3 linked regions of the Kluyveromyces lactis genome follow. The protein of the gene in region 2 purifies or fractionates together with the protein of the main gene of each other region. This does not show direct contact. Links are inferred from orthologs where the notes say so. Each region holds a gene or a part of one and is shown on either strand. Other genes may lie near its edges.

Region 1 (7,661 bases), on a different chromosome or scaffold from region 2:
TTTAGATCCAATACGTATATTCACCAAGGACGCTATAGGACAGGAAAAAGAGATCCTACTCTCAGATATTAGCCAGGGAACTGAAATCGATTCTGTTGTTGAAAGACCCGATCAAAGACGGCCAAGTCTTTTTGGAAGTTTCTCAAGCTCGCGTAATAACACTGGAATACTACTATTACCAAAAGGTGTATCCCCTGAGGATATTGAAGGTAGCAATGATTCTCCGTATGAGGAAGCGAATATTTCCTTGGATAATATTGAAACTTCACCGCCACATCCAGAGAGTTACGCGTTGACAGCCCAGAAACCATTAACAGAAGAGGAAGTGGGTATATCATTAACAAAGACAATATCGTCTCCAGAATTACCTCGTCCACTATCCAGAAGGACCACACCCTCATTAGATAAGCAAGGCAACCTTCCAAAATATAAAGTGTTTCCTCGTATCAACGTGCTTATTGTAGAAGATAACGCTATAAACCAAGCCATTCTAGCATTATTTTTAAGAAAGAACGGAATTTCTTACAAAGTTGCCAAAGACGGAGTGGAAGCAATAGAAAAGTGGAAAGAAGGCGATAGTCATCTTATCCTTATGGATTTGCAATTGCCCCTGCTATCAGGGCTCGAAGCAACAAAAAAAATAAGAGAACTGGAACGAATTAACAATATTGGGAATTTCTCTCAAAAGAGTGTTTCTAAGAAGCCCAATCTGAAAAAAAATGCTAATTCTAAGGAAGAAGGAGGTACAACTGCTGCAAAGACAAGTGATCAGCAAAATGAAGTCGAGAAATCGAATCAGCAGAATATGGTGTTGGACAAATCGAAGTTTAGGTCACCTGTTATAATCGTTGCACTTACCGCATCTTACTCACAAATTGATAGAACAGAGGCCCTATTAGCTGGCTGTAATGATTATTTGACCAAACCAGTCAATTTGGACTGGTTAAGCAAAAAAATAACTGAATGGGGATGTATGCAAGCATTAATCGATTTTGATGGCTGGACTGAAGGACAAAGAAGGATGACTGATGATGTACTTTTGAGACCTCAAATTGTAACGGCAAGAAAATCACAAGCAACTTCTACTAGATCTGTACCGAGAGTTTCTTCTGTCTCAACGACACTTGAATGCGATGATTCTAAATATACAAAATCGAATGACTGTTGTCCGTGAATGAAACCATGGAATAATTGAATTACTTTGAGTTTTCTCAAGTTGTAACAATCATACATTAGCGTTTTACTATAATGGTCATCAGATGTCTTTCTCCGGCAAGAATATTTCAACATTCTTCCCACCTATTACAGTCCACAATCTACCGATAGCATCACTAATTCAACATCTTTTAGGTTTTGGAAAAGTATAATAATTATGACCAGAAATCATGCTATGTAACATTAACAAGAAACTATATTAGTATTGAGCATATATCTTAGTAAATATGACATTATTGAGGTAGCAAACTGTTTCGGACGGTACTGAAGCAGCCATGTCATATTAACCAGCCTTGGATTTAGAACAAATTCTTTGTCCGGGTAATAATAACACCAATCTCTGACTTTTTGTTTGATTTCAAGAACATGTCAAAAGTAACAAACACTAAATTAAAGTACGGTTTATAATGAAACTATCTTATATTTCCCTCAAGAGACAACTGTTACATAAACAACCATATTGCACGAACTGGATTGAGCTGTGTTGATACTATAAATATAAACTCTAATATCATTTCAGTCAGTACGATATTAATTATGTCGGAAAGCAAAATATTCTACAAGTATAAGGCACATGAAATAAGAGGGGAGTTGGTTTCGGATTCTGGTAAGGCCAGAGGTAGTTCGAAGAGGAAACTATGTCTTCGAAAGATTATAGCGAATTTGATCATGGGAAATTATCATGAAATGGCACAATTATTCGTTGACGTTCTACAAATATGGAATAGTGAAAATGATTTAGAGATAAAACGAATGTGTCATCAATATTTTTGCACTTTGACTCCATCAAAGCCTGATCAGTTAAGAATGGCTCTCCCAATTATCCTACAAGACCTTCTATCCAATTCTGAAGAGCTGTGCATTTTATCATTGCGCACAATAACGTCGATAGATGAACCGGAGTATATTCAAGAAGGCTTCCAGCATGTGAAGAAGCTAATCATGACAACTTCAAAAATATCTATTCCACTAAGGAAGGCAGCTATCCATTCTCTGATCAAAATGGATCAATTAGATCATACGAAAGTTTTAGAACTATATTATTTTCTCATGGATATGTTGGACTACGGTAAAGAAGAACCCACAATATTGGTTGCCGCTGTCACAGTACTTCATGAAATTCATGTTAGCAATCCTGATATGAACCCACTCCAACTAACGCAGAACATATGCTTCAATCTCTTAGAGGTATTAGGAAAAATCAATGAATGGGATATTGCGATTCTATTCGATATACTTACTACTGCATACTTACCAAAAACGCATTCTGAAGCTCACCATCTTATCGATCTTTCTGTACCGAAATTGCATAATTTGAATTCATCTGTCGTGCTCAATGCTCTAAAATTTATTATCTATCTAACAAATTACGTTGATTACATTGAAGAGAGGCTTGTGAGAAAGTTCTCAAGCTCCTTGACTTCTTTATTGAATAAGCCTCCTGAAATTCAATTTCTGGTATTGAGAAATGTAATCTTACTTTTACTATCGCGTGACTCTCCACTGATACACCTTGAACCTAATAACTTCTTCATTGAATATTCTGACCCGACTTATATCAAAGATACAAAATTAGAGATTTTATATCTCTTAGCGAATGAAGAAAACACTTCTCAAATTCTTGACGAATTAAAGGGTCAAGCAACAGATATCGATATCCAAATGTCCAAAAAGTCAATCAGAGCAATTGGTAATTTGGCAGTTAAGTATCCACATTCAGCAAGATATAGTGTTGACGTCTTGCTCGAACTTCTAGAATTTGGCGTCGATTACATTGTGCAGGAAGTCGTTTCCATGCTCAAAAATGTTCTAAGGAAATACCCTAATCAGTTTGACTTCGTAGTTCCACTTTTACCGCAATATTCTGATTCCATCCAAGATTCTGAATCGAAATGTGCAATGATATGGATCGTCACCAACCATTCAAATCAATTGGAAGACCCAATAGGTGTATTCCGCAAATATTCTGATAACTTCAATACTGAAGGTCTAGAAGTTCAATTATTGCTTCTCAACTCGGCAGTGAAATTTTTCTGCAGAGCGCAATCAAAAGAAACTGAACAGTTGTGTCTTAAATTATTGTCAGGAGCCACAGAAATTAACGATAATCCCGATCTTAGAGATAATGCATATATGTATTGGAGATTATTGTCATTGGCAGGAAACTCTTCTGAGCCACTATTTAACAACGATGTGGTACGGGACATGATAGATGGTGAACTTCCTGTCATTGAAATCAACACAAAATTGGATCCAATTGTTAGAGAAGAGTTGGAGTTAAACATTGGTAGCATTTTATCGGTATATTTGAAGCCTGTTTCCCAAGTTTTCCGGGGTGTAAGCCCTAAGAAGTTGCCGGAAAGTCCAGCACTTAATCATGAAAAATCATCCTTGTCTATAATTAATGACTCTATCAGTAACAATTCTACTGGAAGTTTCCACGGTTCTGATACTACTCGGAGATCCAGTTCTCCAATTAAGAAAATGACAGATTTCGATAGACCAGCTGAAACAGTAAACCAACTGAAAGACAAAAGAAAATCCAGCATATCTCTTTCAGCGACAAAACTAGCAAGAAAGCCATCGATGCTCGCAAGAAAATTGTCGATGCGGAAGCCTTTCCAATGAACAAAATTAAAACTAGCCACGCATGTCACGAACTTTAAACTAAACATATATATATATATATTCAATCAATATATTTAAAACAGTAAAATCTTTACAGAAGATTTATTCTTCAAAAACTCCTTGAGTACTTTATAGAGAACAGCGGAATCATCTGATGTGAAAATTGTGTTATTTTTTGGATCAAGGTAACTCGCATCAATGAATATATCTAATTTTTCTTTGCCTTGGAAGAAAAGATCGGTGCTCTCTATGATTTTTTGAATACGTGTTGGAGTTGATATGAAATATTTTACAGTTTCTGAGGAAAAGTTTTTACCCTTCATCTTCTTATTGGACTTCTTGTTTTTCTTCTCTGGTTTGGATTCCTTTTTAGATCCAAGCAGTTCCTCCACCTTAGTTATATCATCTTTAAGTTTATTCTTTGAGAACAATTTTACCGCTGTTTGATGGCCGTTAACACTTCTATATACATCTGCAACGCGGATGTTGGATTGAGAAAGAATTATAGATCTAGGTGACTTTGAAAATGTGTGAATGAAATCTTGGAAATTATTCAAACTGCGATCCTTTTCATATTTTTCCGTCGATAAGAAGTCCTGTTTCTTAAAGTACAACTCATCTAATTCTAAAGCACTTAAATCAGGGTTTTTGTCACGGATTGATGTGGCTAAGTACTCAATAATTTTATCAACTGATGCCTTAGGGAGGTTCTCCTTTTGAGCTTTTTCATACGCCATGCGTTCTAGTTTTTTTTGATGGAGAGAAGAATTAGCCAGTTTCTTTTGTCTTTTACTTAAAGGTTTTTCAGACTCTTCAGTGGATAAAGTGTTTCCATTATCTTCCGTATCCAATGCTCTTTTATTCTCTGAAACTTCATCTGCAGTATTACTATCATTGTCCTTATCTAGTTCGACTAGTTCACCATCGGATACCACATCATCGTCTTGGGCATCGTTAACCTCATAAACTAGACCATCATCTAAATCATCTGCGTGTACCATTATGAAACACAGATAAACTGGCAAGGTACTAAACTGTGCTACTTACTAGAAAAGAAATTTCTTAATGTTGGCACTACTCAATCATAGGAACCTCTGTTGAAGCCAATATCAAATGATCAGTTCCATGCGATGAGCTTCAATTTTACACTTTTTCTCTAACCTTGAAGATTCACGGCTTTTCCAACTAGATGGAAAAAGAAAACTGTTAAAAATGTTACCCGTATTTGCGACAGGTTCAAAAACATATTATATCAGTTAAAAAAGCATTAGACAATTGCTTAAGCATACATAGCACACTTTCAACAGGAAAGATGTGGCATTAAGATCAAAACGTATGTTAGTTATTAGTATTATTATTGTTATTATTTGTTTGGTTCAATAAATGTACCTGAAATTCCTGTTCTCAATATCTGTCTTATCTAAGAATTGATACTGTTCTGGTTTAGTTTCGGACTCAGCTTGTTCTTTGTCTCTTCTTCTGTTCTCTGTGTAAGAAGTGTAACCAATGTACAGTTGCAATGGAACACAAACACATTGAGTAACTAGCAATGCGATCTTGGCAGGAATGTATCTTGGGTATGAGTAAGCACGGAACATTTGTGGTGCAACGATACATGCGATATTGTAGACAATCATAGTTAACCCGTTTCTTGCTAGCCTTTTGGTATACCCAGAAGTGTTACAAGTATTCCAGATATAAATGTTCGTAATGGTACATGAACCACTGTATAATAGGTACAACGATAATAGGTTACCGATTTTATTTGTTAACGGTAAACAAATCATGACAATGCAACCAATGATTGCAGGAATGTACATAGATGTCGTGATTAAAGTGAATTGGGAAAATCTTCCTATCAATTGGGTTGTGATTAGAATAATCATGATGGTAACGCATCCGATAGGAAGTTGCAAAAGGGATGTCTGGTAGCTATCAAAACCAAATGTACCTGTGATGGTCACTGAAAAGGTTCCAATGGATCCAGTTGAAATTTGAGAACAACCAGTCAATAATAACATTGGCCATGTCAATTTATCCTTGAGTAACAATTCTTTCACTTGGTGCATCTTGATTTTCTTTGTTTCAAGACCAGTTTGGTTTGATCTGATATGTTCAATGACTTGGACTTTCTCCTTCTCGTTAAGGAACCATGCCTTAGGAACGTTATCTGGTAAATAGAAATAGGTTACTATACCGAATCCCACGGTCACTAAACCGACAACAAGGAACATGATTTGCCACGAGGTAAATTCAGTTCCGTGGTAATGTAAAAACCCAAATGACATTAAACCACCAATGATATAACCGGTTCCTGCTTGAGCAGCCCAGTAACCAATTCTTTGCGTTTGTTCCGATTTCGTATAATACATACCGTTGACTGTAATGCATCCTACAGCACTACACGACTCGAACAACCCTAATAGAACACGTACAATCATCAAACTTGCATATGTCTTACAAACACAATGACAAACGACAACGACACCCCAACATATGATGAACGAGCCCAACACTCGAGACACGGGAAACCTTTGGAGCAAATACACCGCAAACGGTTCTGCAAAGATATACGATGCAGAGAAAATAGTACCCAAATTAGAAAACTCATCACCAACCAAATTGTCCTTGATCCCCATCGATGCGGCATAATTTAACAATGCCTTGTCCAAAAACATCAATAGGTACGTACAGCATAAAAATGGCAAAACAAATATGTCAAGCTTTCTCAACACCTTCTTATCTAACACATGGTTCCCAAAGAAAGTTGTCTTCTCTGTAATATCTTCCTGTTCGATGCTCTTATCGTCCTTCAACTCGGCCGCTGCGGAACTTAGAAGGAACTTTCTAGCTACATCTTCCTCATCGCTTACGGAATAAACAGACTCACTGAGATCTTCTTTATCTGGCATCTTTTCTGGTTTGCCTATCTTGTTGACTTCGTTCTATTATTTTTAAATTGGGGACATATCTTCAAATTTACCAGGGAGGTAATTCGATTCATACTTCGATCCGATGAGGTTCTTTTATACTTCTCGATCCGTCCAAAGATTCATTCCGATTCCTAAACCACTAAAGGTAACTACAAGAACTGAAAGAATTGAAAAAAAGTCTTGCCAACAGAAACAGGCAAGTGCAAGAGAAAAGGACCATCTGGCCCATCTGGCACCTTTTTTCCATTCATTTCACCTCATTTCATGCAATATGCATGTATGTAGCTCAATGCAAGATGCGGTTACGTTGATCTGGCTAAAGCAGGTAACGTGACTAGCAAAGGGTCCTACTATCTTAGATAAGCTGATAATGTGATTGTGTCAGAATAAAAATAGAACTAGAGAAAAAGAAAAGGAAAAACGTGCGCGACGAGGCTCGAGAGAAGCGTCAGATTAAATTGTTAACGACAGAATGCAGGATTATAAAAAAAACATAAAGGGTTTAGTGGACATACTAGATCTGTTGTCTCTTAGCTTCTTGGCATTTAGTCCTTTTTGAAAGAGCACATTTTAAGACACACAAGAAACGGATATCTGTGAATAACGTAGTTTCTGCCAAGTAGGAACGATGTGGAAATTGACATTGTTCTTGGCGATATGGGTACCGATAAGCTTCTGTTTTGTGATTTTAGAGGACGAGTTTTTATATCTTCATAAAAATGGTATTTGCAATAAGCCACAATTTCACTATGAAGCAGATAATTCAGAGGAAGAGTTCGCGGTGTTTTACAACAACTGGGATGGATTGCAGTTACCAGAAACGAGATTCGGAGACCAGTTCACCAGTAAATATAGTTTTTTGAAATGGGTTGACGTATTCTATGG
Region 2 (7,855 bases):
AAAGTTTTCTCCAATCTCTCGAGATCTTCTTTAATCTTTAATAAATGTTGGTTATCCGGTTCCCTTTTCCAAACTCTACCACCTTCCATTTGATGGAACACCGGATAATGAGTCCTGTCAATCTCATCTCTTCTATAGACATCGGCAGAGATTAAAAATCCAGGCTTATCAGTCTTACCCACATGGCCAGGAACAAACCCATTGATATTCTTGAAACATTCCAACTCATGGGCAGATGTATGCGTTCTTAACAGATGACAATCGTTCAAGTAATAGGTATCAGATTTCGATCTACCGGGGTGATCTTCTGGGAATCCCAAAGAATCAAAATTCTCATGTACCGTAACCGCAGGTTTGAAATCGTTATAGATCTCGAATGAGTGATGAGGGTCGTTCAGCTTGTCCTCGATAACACTTCTTAAGATCCCAACAGGGTGTGATGGTTTCAAATAAACAGCGCGATCAGTCAAATTCAAAATCGAACTAGTTACATTCGTCTTATCTGATACTGGGTACGTCTTTCCATTCACAGAAAGTGTCTGTAATGCCACATTGGAGGTGCTAAACAACCTTAAACATGGTCTCAAAGTTGACAATATCGTCCTATTCGACATCGTTTCGGTATTAAAGAACCCTTAATAACAGTAAAACTGGGGCAATTCAATCAACAAAACAAAGGTAATCCCTTAGCAATGATATTACTAGTGATATTTCACTGCCTGAAATCACCAGAACAGGTATATCAAGTGTTGTTTAACGAGACTTTTGTATCTTCTTTTGAATGTATGTAGAAGGTCACATGATTTCAAGATATCTTCAACTTCACCAAAAATTTTTCAATAATGAAAAGCTTTAAGAGTAAGTAAAAGAAGATCCAGAGCATAGAAATTGATTTGAAAAGCAGCATAAAACAGTCCCTCGCGCCTCATTGCAAGGATCTTATTTCAGATCAGTGAGCCTCCTTTATCGTAAATTAGATCACCATGTTTTCCAGCGTTTTCAAGACTGGATTTCGCTCACTAAATCCATTAGAAAGTCTGCAAGTAACCGCTAGGCGTTTTACACATGAATATGCTCCACGTTTCAAGAACCAGACTAAGAAGCAAAAGGGTCGTGTGCCAGTGCGTACCGGTGGCTCTACTAAGGGTAATTCGCTTCAATTTGGTCAATTTGGTTTAAGATTGAAGTCTGAAGGTGTGAGACTTACTGCGTTACAGTTGAAGGAAGCCGATAATGCTATTATGAGATACGTTAGACCTTTGAATAACGGTCAATTATGGCGTCGTTTGTGTACAAACATTGCTGTTTGTATCAAGGGTAATGAGACCAGAATGGGTAAAGGTAAGGGTGGATTTGACCATTGGATGGTCAGAGTACCCACCGGTAAAGTGATCTTTGAGATGGCAGGTGACAATCTACACGAGAAAGTAGCACGTGAGGCGTTTAGAAAGGCAGCAACCAAGCTTCCTGGCCTATACGAATTCATATCGAAAGATTCTCTGGTAAGAGTAGGTATCAAGAGTGTAAAAGATCCAAAGGACGATCCAAAGATCAATTACTTTGAAGAACTAAAGAAGAAACCTACAAAGGAATATATTACAAAGTTGAAGTCCCAGCAACCGGAATATAGAATGTTCAGGGCTCGTTGAAATAGATCGATGTGTGTATATAAACGACTCTTTTACGTATAACTTTTGTGAGAGCTAATCCCACTATCTGTAAATAGGCTATCAAAGATTCAAGATTTAAAGTCCCAAATGAGTAAAGTTTGGTTGTTTGTCAAACTACAAAAGTTAATACTTACGTATATTTATCTATTTCACACATTGTCCTTGCAATGAACCCTTCTAAATGGTAGATTGCTTTGTTTCCAAGGTTGAGACGGTGATCAAAAGTGCATGCAGTATCGATAATTGCCAACTTCAACGGATCTGACTGGGCATCTGAAAGCAATTGCGTCGTTAATTCATGGACTATGGTTTTGGCAGGAATACAATGGGCTAATAGATCATAATTTATGGAACGGCATTCTACAAGGTTATTAACAGTTCTTTCTTTTAATATTTTCCTAGCCATTTTATGGATCACCAATTGCCAATCAGGTCTGTTCAAAGGTGTATCGTTTCTTAAATGCAATTCATTTTGTAGTGAGGTAGATTCTAGTGCTAAGAGTGACATTCTCAAGTTCCCCTTTGACAGATTCGCTATCCTCTCTAGACAATTGCCCTCGGCAGTTATTTTTTCTTTGGAACAACAATCCTGCAGGATAGACACAGTTTCTTGCAAACTTGGTGATGGTACTCTAACTAGCAAGCAACGAGACTTGATAGGAGCAATGATACTGGACATTGAATCACATAGCATTATAAGCCTGATGTTACCAGAGTATTTTTCCATAGTTCTTCTTAATGCTGCCTGGGCATCTCTAGTCAACGAGTCTGCCTCGTTGATGATAACGCACTTGTAACGATGTGCCAAACCATCCTTGGAGTCCTGGAAATCTACTTGTTCCATTTGAGCGACTTCCTTAATCAATTCTTGTATCACAACACGATCGTTGTTACCAATATCGCTCGGAGTAATCTCTAAATGGTAGGGACTACTGACTACATTCAACTCCAGCTTACGGTTGGATGGTGTGACGAACTGTCTAACGTCGATCTTCAGCTTGTAAACCCCAGAACCAAATATTTCTTGCAACAGTGCCATACATCTAGTCTTCTTACCAGCACCATTGGGTCCATAGAACAACAGATGTGGAAGATCTTGAGGTTGTCTCGTTAATGAGTACAATTGATTTGTTAATTCTTCATTGTAACTTAATGACTGTAGAGTCTTTGGTCTATACTTATCAACCCACAAAGACATTCTCGTATAGGAATTTTAAATCTTGTTAGTCGATGTAGCTCAATGTAACTCGCTGGAATGGCTCGTTCGCCTGCTATGCGTTTTGATTAATTGTCTCTCAAGTACTTTTCGTGATGCGTTTTATTAACAATTTCGCCAAACGTTTCTTCACGTTGACATTTTGAAATTCAAATGATTTCAAGTAGACGTAACTTCAATAGCCTTAAAACAACAACATCAAGTTAGATAGTATACCAGCAGTAGGTACCATTTTTATCTGTACACTTACTAGTTGTTATCGATTAGCAGTGCCACTTGATTATCTTCCTAGTTATTTGGTGTCTTACAAGTCAGAATCAAGAAATTAACAATGGCTTTAGGTCAGAATCAACAGAACAACATGAAGGGTTTGCAATTGTTCATTGCAGACCTTCGAGCAAACCAGAAGACTAAAGAGCATGCTAGGAGAATACAAACTGAACTACAGAATATACGGACTCAGTTTACCCAGAAAAGTGGGCTCAATGGGTATCAAAGGAAAAAATATGTTGCTAAGATGGCATATATATATATCACTACTAATGCTGGCATGGTTCCTGAGTTGTTATTCGGATTGGATCAATGTTTCCAGTTGTTGAAAAGCAGTAACTTCAGTGAAAAATGGATTGGTTATATGACACTTGAACTCCTTTTCAACCATGCTGTTGTGAGAAACAGCGTCCTGGAGAAGACTATTTCATGCTTGAAACTGGATCTATCATCTGGCGACGCTAATGCAGTAAGCTTGGCGTTGAACTTCGTCGGAATAGTTGGGAATCGTGATGAAATCTTTGCTGATAATCTAAGTGAGACGATATTCGGAATTCTTAGATCTCCTGTCTCATCAGCCATTTTGAAAAGAAAAGCATGCTTGGCGTTTTTAACTTTAATTCGTTATAAACCGCAAATCCTTACAAATCTTGAAGATAATAAACGAACTCTATGGATTGAAAGAATTACTACATTATTAGGGGATGAGAACGATCATGGATTATTACTTTCACTTTTGCCTTTACTTGAGTTTATAGCTAGAGAGATTGACGTTAATCCATGTTTGAGGTTAATCCCGCAACTAGCTGAGATTTTGCATGAATGTCTATCGAAAAAGCAGAATAGTGCAAATGATGCAGATTACCAATTTTCGGGAGTATCTAACCCATGGATTGTAGGGAATTGTGTATCTCTTTTACAAGTCTTGGTCAGCGATAACGGAGAGAATTTGATCGGATCGAATATTGATCAACAGACCCTGGGTAAGTTACGGGTTTGTGTATCACATGCGGTATCGTTTGCATTAGCAAGTGATGCCAATCCGGTCACCAAAAATGCTCAGTATTCTGTTATGTTTACAATGCTCGGTTTTGCTTGTAAACTGGATCCTACTAATGAGGCTATTTCAAATTCCGTCACAGGACTTTGTGAACTAATGACATCTAATGACCTGAATACGAGATATTCAACTTTCGATCTTTTAATCAAAATCTGTAAAGTAAATGGAACAACTGCGATAAAGACAATTCAAAATGAACATCTCACGAGATTAGTTGATATGTTAAAAAGAGAGAGTGACGTTACTCTATTGAGAAAAATTATTGATCTCCTTGTCATCTTAACAGACGTAAGCAATTTCAAATTTGTCGTTCAAGAGCTTTTAAGTGCATTAGAAGCCCACAAATCAATGGATTTTGCTCTGAGAGAAGATTTGTCGTTCCAAATTGAAAGGCTGATAGAGCTGCACGCAGATGATCTCAACTGGTTTGTGCTCTCCTCGTTAAGGTTATTATCATCAAACACATCAATCAAGAATGATCATGTTTGGAAGCGAATTTGTCAGATAGTGGTGAACAATGAACCATTACATAAACTAGCGTGTGAACATCTGATTGATTACTTACATGCTCCTAACGTGGCGGAATCGCTTGTGAAGGCTGGTGTTTTCCTTTTAGCTGAATATGCGTCACTGGTTAACGACAAAGTCTCAGCTGGGGATCTATTTAACCTTTTCACTGAAAAATACTTCCAAGTCAGTAATTTGACTAAGGCAATGATACTAACAGGAATGTTAAAGTTGTATCACGTCGAACCGCAGTTATCTTCTGTTGTTGTGAAGTTTTTTCAATTAGAGTTGAATTCATTTGACGTCATTTTGCAGACGAGATCTTATGAATATTTGAAGATAATTCAATATTCGAAGATGAACGATATGACCTTTATAGATAAGTTATTACCCGGTATGCCACCATTTGCTTCTAGCAAAGATACGGACATAATGTCCAAGCTTCCGAAAACACAAGAACTACTGAGCCTAGAGCAACCTTTCACCAGTGGTAACACTGTAGACTCTAACAACAAACCCGCATCCTTACCCACCCCACCAAGATCAAGAAAAAACAACAAGCTCTATCATTCACAACAACTAACTCCTGGATGGGAATCTGGCTTTAAAAGGATGCTAATTCATACCCAAGGTGTATTTTATCAGGATACCTTGGTGAGTGTTTTGTTTAGAGTGGAAACCAAGGAAGAGCAACCATCAACAAGCAAGATCACATTCACATATGTGAACAAATCAGATTGGGAAATTACAGGATTAAGTTGTGAGATTATTCCACTTCGTGCGGACAACAACCCACCATATGTGCTGCAAGTCTTGCAATCACCGGATTCAAAGTTAGCACCGTCCAACGGCAGAACATCATATACTTTTGAGATAACAACAAGGTTCCCATTCCCACAAGAACATGCATCTTTGTTGTCATCGCAATTTAAATGTGGCGGTCAGTACTGTAGTCACAGGCTAAAAATTGGTTATACCATTCTCTCTACACTATCACCTCGTATCAGTGAGATTAAGTTAGCCCAGTTCGTTCAACGTTGGAAGTCAATCGGTGATTCTCTTGGAAAAGCGGGCGAACATGTAGACGTTGTCGAATGCCAACATACAAATTTACAAAAATTAATGAAAACCATGTCAAAAGTTGGTTTTGACGTTGTCCAACAATCGTCAATTCCAAACATTGCATTTGCTGGTGGTATTTTACATACAAAGAGTGATGGTAACTACGGATGCTTGCTTAAGTTGAGATTACTGGATTCTGACGATAAGGTACAAATTACCTGTAAAACCACTTCAAGTGGTGACCTTTCTAGATTCGTGATTAATTGTATCAAAAAGGTAGTTGAGGAGTGATTGAAATAAAAATATATTTATATGTATGAACTTGTAAAAATAGAAGTATGGATTGATGCACAATGCAATATTTAACAGTATAAAGTAAGAAGCCAAGAATGCGCGTATATACACAAAAGGTGCTTCTCTTGGGTTCTTGTTTGCTTTCTCTTTGATACATCAATTGAAATCAAGCGTTGTTTTAGTTTTTAAGTGGTCTTGAACCAAAAATGGCAGTACCGATCCTAACTTCGGAAGTTCCCTGTTTGATAGCTTGTCTGAAGTCCGCGGTCATACCCATTGAGAGTTTCAAGTCCAAGCCGTATTTTGCATCAAGCTTTTTCTTCCATTCAACTAATCTAGCAAAATCTTGGTTTTCTTCATTACCTGAATGGGATACGTCCCAGGATCCTACAGTCATTAATCCATTCAAACTAACATGCTTGGCCTCCTTGATAAGATATTCAACAATCGAATACACCTCTACTTCTGCGAACAATCCGGATTTTTGTTCCTCTCCAGAAGTGTTGATCTGAACATTACACGTGATCACGGGTGCATCCGGGTTCCACTTCCCTCTGGCTTCTTCCAACTTCTTCGCCTTCTTTAACGAATCAACGGTCTCTACCGAGTAAAGGTTCGCAATCTTAGCCAAATCCTTGCATTTGTTACTTTGCAAACCGCCGATGAAATGCCATTTAATATCCTGGGGTAAAATCTCACTCTTCGTAATCATCTCTTGAACGTAGTTTTCCCCAAAGTGTCTCACACCATAATCATACAAAATTTTGATGTCTGCAGCAGGCTTATACTTGGAAACAGCTAGTAATTCAACGTTAACATTACCGACTTCCTGAGCAGTGGCATTGATCTTATCTTTCATCGTCTGATAAGCCCCAATCAGCTCTTCTTTCCTCACAGCATCGTAACTGATATCACTAGACATTCTTCTTGCTACTATCAGTCCCCTGCGAATCATTCAAAAGCACTATAATATGGGTAAAACCAAAATTTAAAGTAAGTGCTCATCACTTAATCTTATCAGATGTTGTGAATCATCGAGCAAATTCCTTTATATCTTGAAGCCGTTCTTGGAAAAAAGTGTTGATACTTGTCACGTGATGTAGGGGAGCTGCAAAAAAGACAAATCGAAAATGGAAAGAAGCAAAACGCGATTAAAATTCAATGAATTGAAACGGGATTGGTTTGATTTCAGTTTTGTGATGAGAATTAGCATTCAGTTTGGTGCTTAATCTGTTAGTTAAGAGATTCCAATTAACCTAGGTACGTGCGTGTGTTTTCTTGGTGCTGTGAAGATGAGTATTTTTGAATTAGACCCTAATTATGTATTAGTGGTTGAATACTCGAAAGAGAATTTGTCGGTCTTGTTGGCTGAATTAGGTGCCAAGGGTCTTTTATGTGAGTGCAGACCTGGACATGATGCGAAGAATGTGTATGTCTTTGTTAGGGATGATTTGGGTAACGTGCTGAAAGTTGTCGAACGATTTAAGTTCGTAACCAAGGTGTCACCGTTGTATACGGAGGGTGAGAGGGAGCAGATGAAGAGGATGGCTCACGAGTTAATTAGAAATCGTTCTCTCTTGACTGATAATGATTTGGTTCAATTAGCTCAGGTTAGTGGTAATCCGCGTGTTGCTATGTACTTTGCTTTTGTGAAGACTTACACACGGTTCCTTATGCCCTTGGCTGTTTTTGGATTGGGTTTACGTCTCTTCAATCCTAGCGGCATGGAATTCAATGCGTATTACGCTGTTGCAGTGTTGATTTGGGCTATATCTT
Region 3 (7,163 bases), on a different chromosome or scaffold from region 2:
CCAAGAGCTGCTAGAGAGACCTTGTTGGATTATTCTAAAAAAGTTACGTCTGAATTTTGTGTAGGATCGTTTTTGCATCATCAGAACGTTATCGAAACCTTGGATATGCTACAAGAGGGAGAGCATTTTTTGGTAGTAATGGAATATTGTCAGTATGATTTCTTCACATTGGTTATGAGTGATCTAATGGGAAAGCATGAAATCGCATGCTATTTCAAACAAATCTGTAATGGAGTTGCATATCTACATTCTCAAGGATTGGCTCATAGAGATTTGAAGTTAGACAACTGTGTTGTTAATGCTCAAGGTATCTTGAAGTTGATTGACTTTGGTAGCGCTACCATTTTCCATTACAAATACGAGGATAAAATAGTGAAAGCGAAAGGCATTGTTGGTAGCGACCCATACTTAGCTCCAGAGCTTTTGGTAAGTCAATACTATGATCCGAGACCCGTAGATGTTTGGTCCATTGCAGTAATGTTCTATTGCATGACATTAAGAAGATTTCCATGGAAAAAACCAAGCGAAGAGGTCGTGTCATTCAAATTGTTTGCTCAAAATCCAGATGATGAGAACGATCACACTAAGGGTCCATACAAGATTTTGAAGTTACTTCCACGTCATTCAAGACCATTGATTGGTAGAATGCTAGAACTAAGTCCTCACAAGAGAATCTTAATGCCGGAAGTTTTAGCGGACCCGTGGTTCCAAAATATACATTGTTGCGAAGTTGACAACGATGGAAAATTGATCAATCCACCAACTAACCACAAGCATCATTTAATTACGGAAGACGAATTAAAAGAGCTTACTGAGAAGAGAGAAAAGGAGGCTAACGAACGGAGAGCAGCAGAATTAAATCACAATACGACACAAGAGTGATAAAACTTTGCACCTATATCTCAGCATCATGAACCATATCATAACCATAAACAATCTTAACATTCATTCATAATCATACCCAAGCATTTGGTACAACATCATGCACTCTCGCAATAGCTTGGAGACTTTAGAACTTATTTCCCAAATAAAGGGCAATGTAGCATTTGTCGTGCATATTCTTTTCAAATTCGGCCTAATGCATGAAGACCAAGAAATCTGGGGAAACCATCATCATCCAAAGAAACTCTTCCAATGTAAGAATGAATTTTACAAGCTATTGACATTACACCATTGCACGGCCCAATAGAACAATAGAGTGAGACCAACTTGAAATTGATACATTTGTGTGTGTATATACATTTATATTTTTATTACATAAAACAACCTTAAAAGCAGAATCACAAATTCGGTACGATTACTACCATCCATGTTCAAAAAGAATACTTATCGATTCTCCGTTATGAATTCTTCTGATGGCTTCGGCGAAAATATTAGAGACATCTAGAACCTCAACTCTATCAGCACCTAGTACCTTAATTGTTTCGTCCTGTGGAATAGAGTTTGTGACAATTATCTTATCAATAACACTCTGTCCAATTCGGTTTAGAGCATCTCCTGAGAAAATACCATGTGTAATCAAAGCATATATTTTAGTGGCTCCTTGGTCCTTCAAGAGTTTTGCTGCTCTAGTAATGGTGTATGAGGTGTCAACCAAATCGTCAACAATAATACATTCTTTGTTTCTGACATCACCGACCAACATAGTAGTGTTCACGTATTTATTGTTTCCATTATTGGAGAGACTTGTCCTAATATCCAGTGACTCAATTAAAGGTTTGGTCGATACTGGAACGCCACCACCTGATGTTAAGGTGGCGCCAGGTGGACCTTTCAAAAGCTGTGACCTTCTTTCCTTGTGAATCATAGCAAAAGAAAGTTCTAAGACATCGGCGATTTTTGCAGCACGCTTAGCACCCCCAGCATCTGGAGAAACAACGACACAATCCTGATAGTTAGGAATATGATGTTGAATATAAGCCTGAGTGATAGGTTTACAGTATAGGTTATCAACAGGAATGTCAAAGAATCCTTGGAATTGAGAATCATGTAAATCCATAGTGATGACATGATCTGCTCCGGACGTAGTTAGCAAATTAGCGATCAAAGTACCTGCTTGGGCTACCCATAGCTTATAACTAGAATTGCTTGCGTTAAAGAGGGCGTCTGCATTTGAATCTTGCTCCTGCTCAGATGGATGTTCAGCCTTCCCGTTTGGAATCATGGGGATACGCGAAGAAGTAGATGAGGTGGGTCTCAACTCTACTGGACGCAAAGGAGTGGGACTTTGTAGAGACTGAGGACCTGATGAAGAAGCTGAGCTTGCGGCATCTAGCCTACTTGAATTTGGGGACATGGGCTTCTCTACTGTTAGCATGGATTGAGGGATAGGGGTTCCTGGATGTGACTCAAAAGTATATTTTTCCTTAGGCTTTGATATTAATGGAGCACCCTTAGCTGTGTATGGGATATCAGGCTGTCTTGAATACGAGAAGTATGGCATCACAGCAGTGACTCTGGATGCATCAGCTGTTTTACAGGCATTGATGAGAATCAATAGCTCCATAAAGTTATCATTAACATGGCCACATCCACTTTGAATCACATAAACATCTTTCTCTCTAACAGATTCTTCGATACTAATGGAGGTCTCACCATTTGAAAACTTACCTAGCTTCACTTGCGACCTTTCAATACCTAGATTCTCACAAATCTTATTCACTAAATCGAGATGGGAACTACCAGCAAAAACGACGATGTTATTCATTTCTTTCGACAAGACTTACAGGGCTTTATTAAACAGTAGTTTTCTGGATGAAGTACAATACAGGTTCAGCGTTCAATTCACCTCTTATGATCGTATCTGTATGATCATTGTACCGATCGATCTCGTTATCTCTGTCAAATTGTTATAAAAATTTTCGGACCTACTGATAGTAAAGCACATTGCAGAGAATCTTCAAAAAAGAAGAATTACCTGAAAAGGCCCGTGTTTCATCCAGAAGAGCCGCATTGTCAGTAGTGCCATGGATATATCATGTTTATTCATAATGGCCTACTCTTAGGTATTGCGTAAGACCTTTTTGTTCAGATCTGTTATAATTCCCTTGACATTATATGCTTTCCAATAGTAAATATATACAGCTTAGACACAATGAGTTGGGGCAAAAGCAAGGGAATGAATAAGATACAATTTCTGTTCCAATAATCTATCATTGCACAAACCAATCCATCAGTGAGTTGCCTATATAATAATAACATCTCGTCAACGTTCTTGTTCTTTTTCTCAGCTTTTGCTTTATTTTGCAAAGGTTTGATAAATAGCACAACAATAATTTTGAACTATGTAGCGTATATTTCAGTAAAGGTTCCTTAAACTGTAACTTCAGGCACTTGAGGTACACAGGGCAGTGCAAAACTGAAACGGTGGTGTTCGTAACCTACAGTATAAAAATTATCGTTGACCAACACGCAGCATGCTTAGTGCTATATTTATATACAATGCAAAGGGTGATTTGTTGATCAGTAAATTGATCAAAGACCATGTTAAAAGATCACTGGCAGATGTGTTTAGAACCCAAGTCATCAATGATCCACATGTGAGGTCTCCTATATTGACATTGGGCTCAACGACATTTCAACATGTTATCAGAGAAAGTAGCGACAACTTGCCTATGTGGCTTGTAGCAGTATCCAGATCGAATGTGGATAGTTCAATGATCTGGGAATACCTACACAAGTTGTACCAATTAATGGAAGCATTCGGAATTAACGATGAAGACGTGTTAAAGGATGAATTTATGTTATTGTATGAGATTTTAGAACTGACGTTGGAGAACGGCATCCCACAAACAACGGACTTAGCTCAAATAATACCAAGAGTATCACGAAAACCAATAGAGAATAACACAATTAGCAAATCTCCCGATTTGGATGATTTCTTATCCGGATCTAACATTCTAAAGGCTCCAAAGCTTTCAAAGCGGTCCTCAAGTTCAATTGCCTTGTCTTCATTATCTGAATGCCCTTGGAGGCCAAGTGGGTTGAAATACAAGAAGAATGAGGTATATTTGGATATCAACGAAAAGATCACAATATTGGTAGGTAAAGATGGGTCAATTGTGAAATCATTTGTTGATGGATCCGTGGATTGTGTATCACATCTATCAGGTATGCCTCTATGCCAACTAGGGTTGAATGACACATATTCGATTCATGGAAACGAAAAGTCAGAATTGTCCATTGTTGAAATGATGTCCGAGTACGATATTAAGAATAAGAAAGCTATACCGAATGCGGCTGCAGGCTCTGTAATATTAGAAGATTGTAAATTCCATCAATGTGTCCAACTTAATAAGTACGAGGCCAACCACGTTATTCAATTCGTTCCTCCTGACGGGCCATTCCAATTGATGCAATACCGTGTCATTGATAACATTAATATCCCATTCAACGTCATACCGGAGGTAGAAATCGTGAAGAACTCTACACTCAATTACAAGGTAACGTTAAGATCACTTTTCCCATCCAATGTCTCTGCCAAAGATGTAACAGTTAAAATACCTGTGCCCCCAACCACGATTAAATGCGATTTTAACGTCTCTGGAGGAAAATGTAAGTACGATGCCGGAGAAAAATGCATGGTATGGAAATACAACAAATACAAAGGATCTACAGAAAATACTCTGAGCGGTAAGGTGGCAATCCCTGCTACTTCCCACGATCTATCTGATTTGTTAAGATGGTCAAGACCGCCAATATCAATGGGCTTCGAAATTGTAATGTTTAGTAATTCCGGACTTGTGGTGAGACACTTGAAATGTCAAGAACCACAATTGAATTATCAACCGGTGAAATGGATTAAATATATCTCACATTCAGGAGCATACGAGATAAGATATTAGTCCACTGAGTGGGATGACTTGTCCCTATAATGGTGTCTTCATATTAATGTGCAACGAATTGGTTTACAAAAGTTTACCCGGATATGTATATATTATTCATGTTTTTCCTATTTAAACAATGTAGTAATAATATTCCAAAAGTTTAAAGGAACAGAAAGCAGATTATAAGTCATCCTGCGATCTTAGTATGGGGTTTGCGATGATATAGACAATTTGGCCTTTGAAATTCCTATAAAATTCCTTTGTAAATTAAGAAGCTTCATAGATTTCAAGACTATGAAGACATTTTGCATTACCAGAAGTAATCGCTTATTGGTATAAATCTGAGAAAATACAATTCCGCACATCAGACATTGTGATATTCTTCTGTGAGATGCTTCCCCTAAATCGATTTCAATTGTGCGTTAAATCACAGATTGGGCTGCGACCATTTCAATCCTTGACAAAGTTAAAAGCATACAGTCCTGCTAGTCATGGATGTGTCAAGACGGGTCAGTTTGTGAATTTGGTGCCACGGTTCCCACTCCTGGCAGCTTTGAATCCCCGGATGAATCTTTTACATTATAACCAGAATATTTTGGTCTCTCCTGTGAAGATGGCGCTTCGAAATTTCCATTCTACGCCGAGAAACATGGTACTTGGTGGACGGGATCCTTTCAGAAAAAGTCCCTTTAACAATCCCAGATTTATCTTTTCAATCAGCCCTTTTTCCTTTATTCTTTCCACGTTACTGTTCGCTGGATTCATAACAATGATAGTATTTGTTTTGCCTTTCTTACTTGCTTTGCTTTTCCCGATGGTGATATTTGGAATAGGGTGGTATCAATTCAAAGCTTTTAGAACCAGGAAACTTATGCAGCTTTTGGATCATGCTTTCAATCAAACTAAGATGAAGCTTTCATCCACCACAAGGAGAGAATTGATAATGAAGCAAATGGTCCCAAAATTCAAGTCATTTACCCAGCTAAAGGACTTCAGCGGATTCCCCTTCAAGCTCTCTCAAGCATTTACAGATAAGTTTCAATCGGGAGAATTTCCCAACGCAGACAGATTTCTTTCCTTTGTGAAATCGAGATTAGATGAGAGTTTCTATAAAAACGAACACAACATCAAATCCATAGTTTTAGGAAGTGATACAGCTTATGTTCCAGGACACATGGAGTTAGTAACAAACTCGTACTCTTTTGTTTCCAGCGTCAGAAATAACGAAAACATCCAAGCTTTTTCATTTATGCTATTGAACATGGGTTCTGAGGGAGTCCGTAAACCAGTTGCATTGGTTTACATCGTTACAAAGGCAAACCCAGGGGACGAATTGTTGATGTTCACTGGTGACTACATTGATGATTCTAAGTTATCCCCGATGGTCATCTATGTACGTGCTCTCAGCCCATTTTCGAAATGTTGCTTCATTACAGACGTCGGAGAAACTGGAGCAAATGCACAATATAGTGTAAAACGAAAAAAGGACGGCAGTAAAGAATACACGTACGAAAGTGATTAAAAGAACTAACGCCCTCACCTAGGTACTGACATGACATTATTAAGAATCATCACTTCACAAAATCTATTTAAGTTGACACAAACCGTCACAATTTATACATATTCATCAATGAAATAAAAAAGATCATATAACACATATCCAAGCAAACTATAAGATTCATTTGAACCATATGAAAACATGCTTTACATGTAAATCCAACGATTTAGCGGCTATCTTGTGACGTGCCAATAGCTTTATACCTCCTGGATAAATTCTATATGGACAAACATGATCACATGATTTACGTGAAAAACGACATCAACAACATTGGGAAATAGGAGATGTTCTTAAAGAAAGAGAGGAAATAAAGGTTTATTTCATCAGATTTAATAGTGGAACTGGGGTAATTAAATCAAACGGACATTTGTGAGCATCTTCAACCCATTAATAAAGCGAAAATGGACCCACATACTCCAATTGTTCTTGATCAGGGTACTGGTTTCGTGAAAATTGGCCGTGCTGGTGAGAACTTCCCAGATTACACCTTCCCATCCATCGTAGGTAGACCGATTCTTAGAGCTGAAGAAAGAGGTCATGCTTCTACCCCATTGAAAGATATCATGATTGGTGATGAAGCAAGTGAAGTTCGTTCATATTTACAGATTTCGTACCCAATGGAAAATGGTATCATCAGAAACTGGGCAGATATGGAATTACTATGGGATTATGCTTTCTTTGAGCAGATGAAATTGCCAACTACATCCGGCGGTAAGGTACTACTTACCGAACCACCAATGAACCCCATTAAAAACAGAGAACAAATGTGTGAAGTTATG

The links.
Region 1: the proteins of APL3 (region 2) and APL1 purify together in Saccharomyces cerevisiae (affinity purification with mass spectrometry; 3 studies listed by BioGRID). This does not show direct contact. The link is inferred for Kluyveromyces lactis from reciprocal best matches to the Saccharomyces cerevisiae genes APL3 and APL1.
Region 3: the proteins of APL3 (region 2) and APM4 purify together in Saccharomyces cerevisiae (affinity purification with mass spectrometry, with the first as the bait; 4 studies listed by BioGRID). This does not show direct contact. The link is inferred for Kluyveromyces lactis from reciprocal best matches to the Saccharomyces cerevisiae genes APL3 and APM4.

What each region holds. Positions count from the first base shown.
Region 1 is NC_006041.1:841,381-849,041, forward strand, and holds APL1 (Apl1p), read left to right. Parts: upstream 1-1,752; coding exon 1,753-3,843; downstream 3,844-7,661. Other genes in the region: mitogen-activated protein kinase kinase kinase SSK1, read left to right, coding at 1-1,174; CMS1 (Cms1p), read right to left, coding at 3,918-4,844; THI73 (Thi73p), read right to left, coding at 5,220-6,755; KLLA0_E09593g (uncharacterized protein), read left to right, coding at 7,405-7,661. UniProt on the Saccharomyces cerevisiae protein: Adaptins are components of the adaptor complexes which link clathrin to receptors in coated vesicles. Clathrin-associated protein complexes are believed to interact with the cytoplasmic tails of membrane proteins, leading to their selection and concentration.
Region 2 is NC_006038.1:1,065,008-1,072,862, forward strand, and holds APL3 (Apl3p), read left to right. Parts: upstream 1-3,217; coding exon 3,218-6,076; downstream 6,077-7,855. Other genes in the region: MSF1 (phenylalanine--tRNA ligase), read right to left, coding at 1-614; MRPL16 (mitochondrial 54S ribosomal protein uL16m), read left to right, coding at 984-1,649; RFC5 (replication factor C subunit 5), read right to left, coding at 1,801-2,868; KLLA0_B12265g (pyridoxal phosphate homeostasis protein), read right to left, coding at 6,258-7,034; IST2 (Ist2p), read left to right, coding at 7,372-7,855. UniProt on the Saccharomyces cerevisiae protein: Adaptins are components of the adaptor complexes which link clathrin to receptors in coated vesicles. Clathrin-associated protein complexes are believed to interact with the cytoplasmic tails of membrane proteins, leading to their selection and concentration.
Region 3 is NC_006039.1:352,570-359,732, reverse strand, and holds APM4 (Apm4p), read left to right. Parts: upstream 1-3,416; coding exon 3,417-4,844; downstream 4,845-7,163. Other genes in the region: putative serine/threonine protein kinase RTK1, read left to right, coding at 1-882; ribose phosphate diphosphokinase subunit PRS5, read right to left, coding at 1,301-2,707; MRX9 (Mrx9p), read left to right, coding at 5,218-6,348; ARP2 (actin-related protein 2), read left to right, coding at 6,786-7,163. UniProt on the Saccharomyces cerevisiae protein: Component of the adaptor complexes which link clathrin to receptors in coated vesicles. Clathrin-associated protein complexes are believed to interact with the cytoplasmic tails of membrane proteins, leading to their selection and concentration.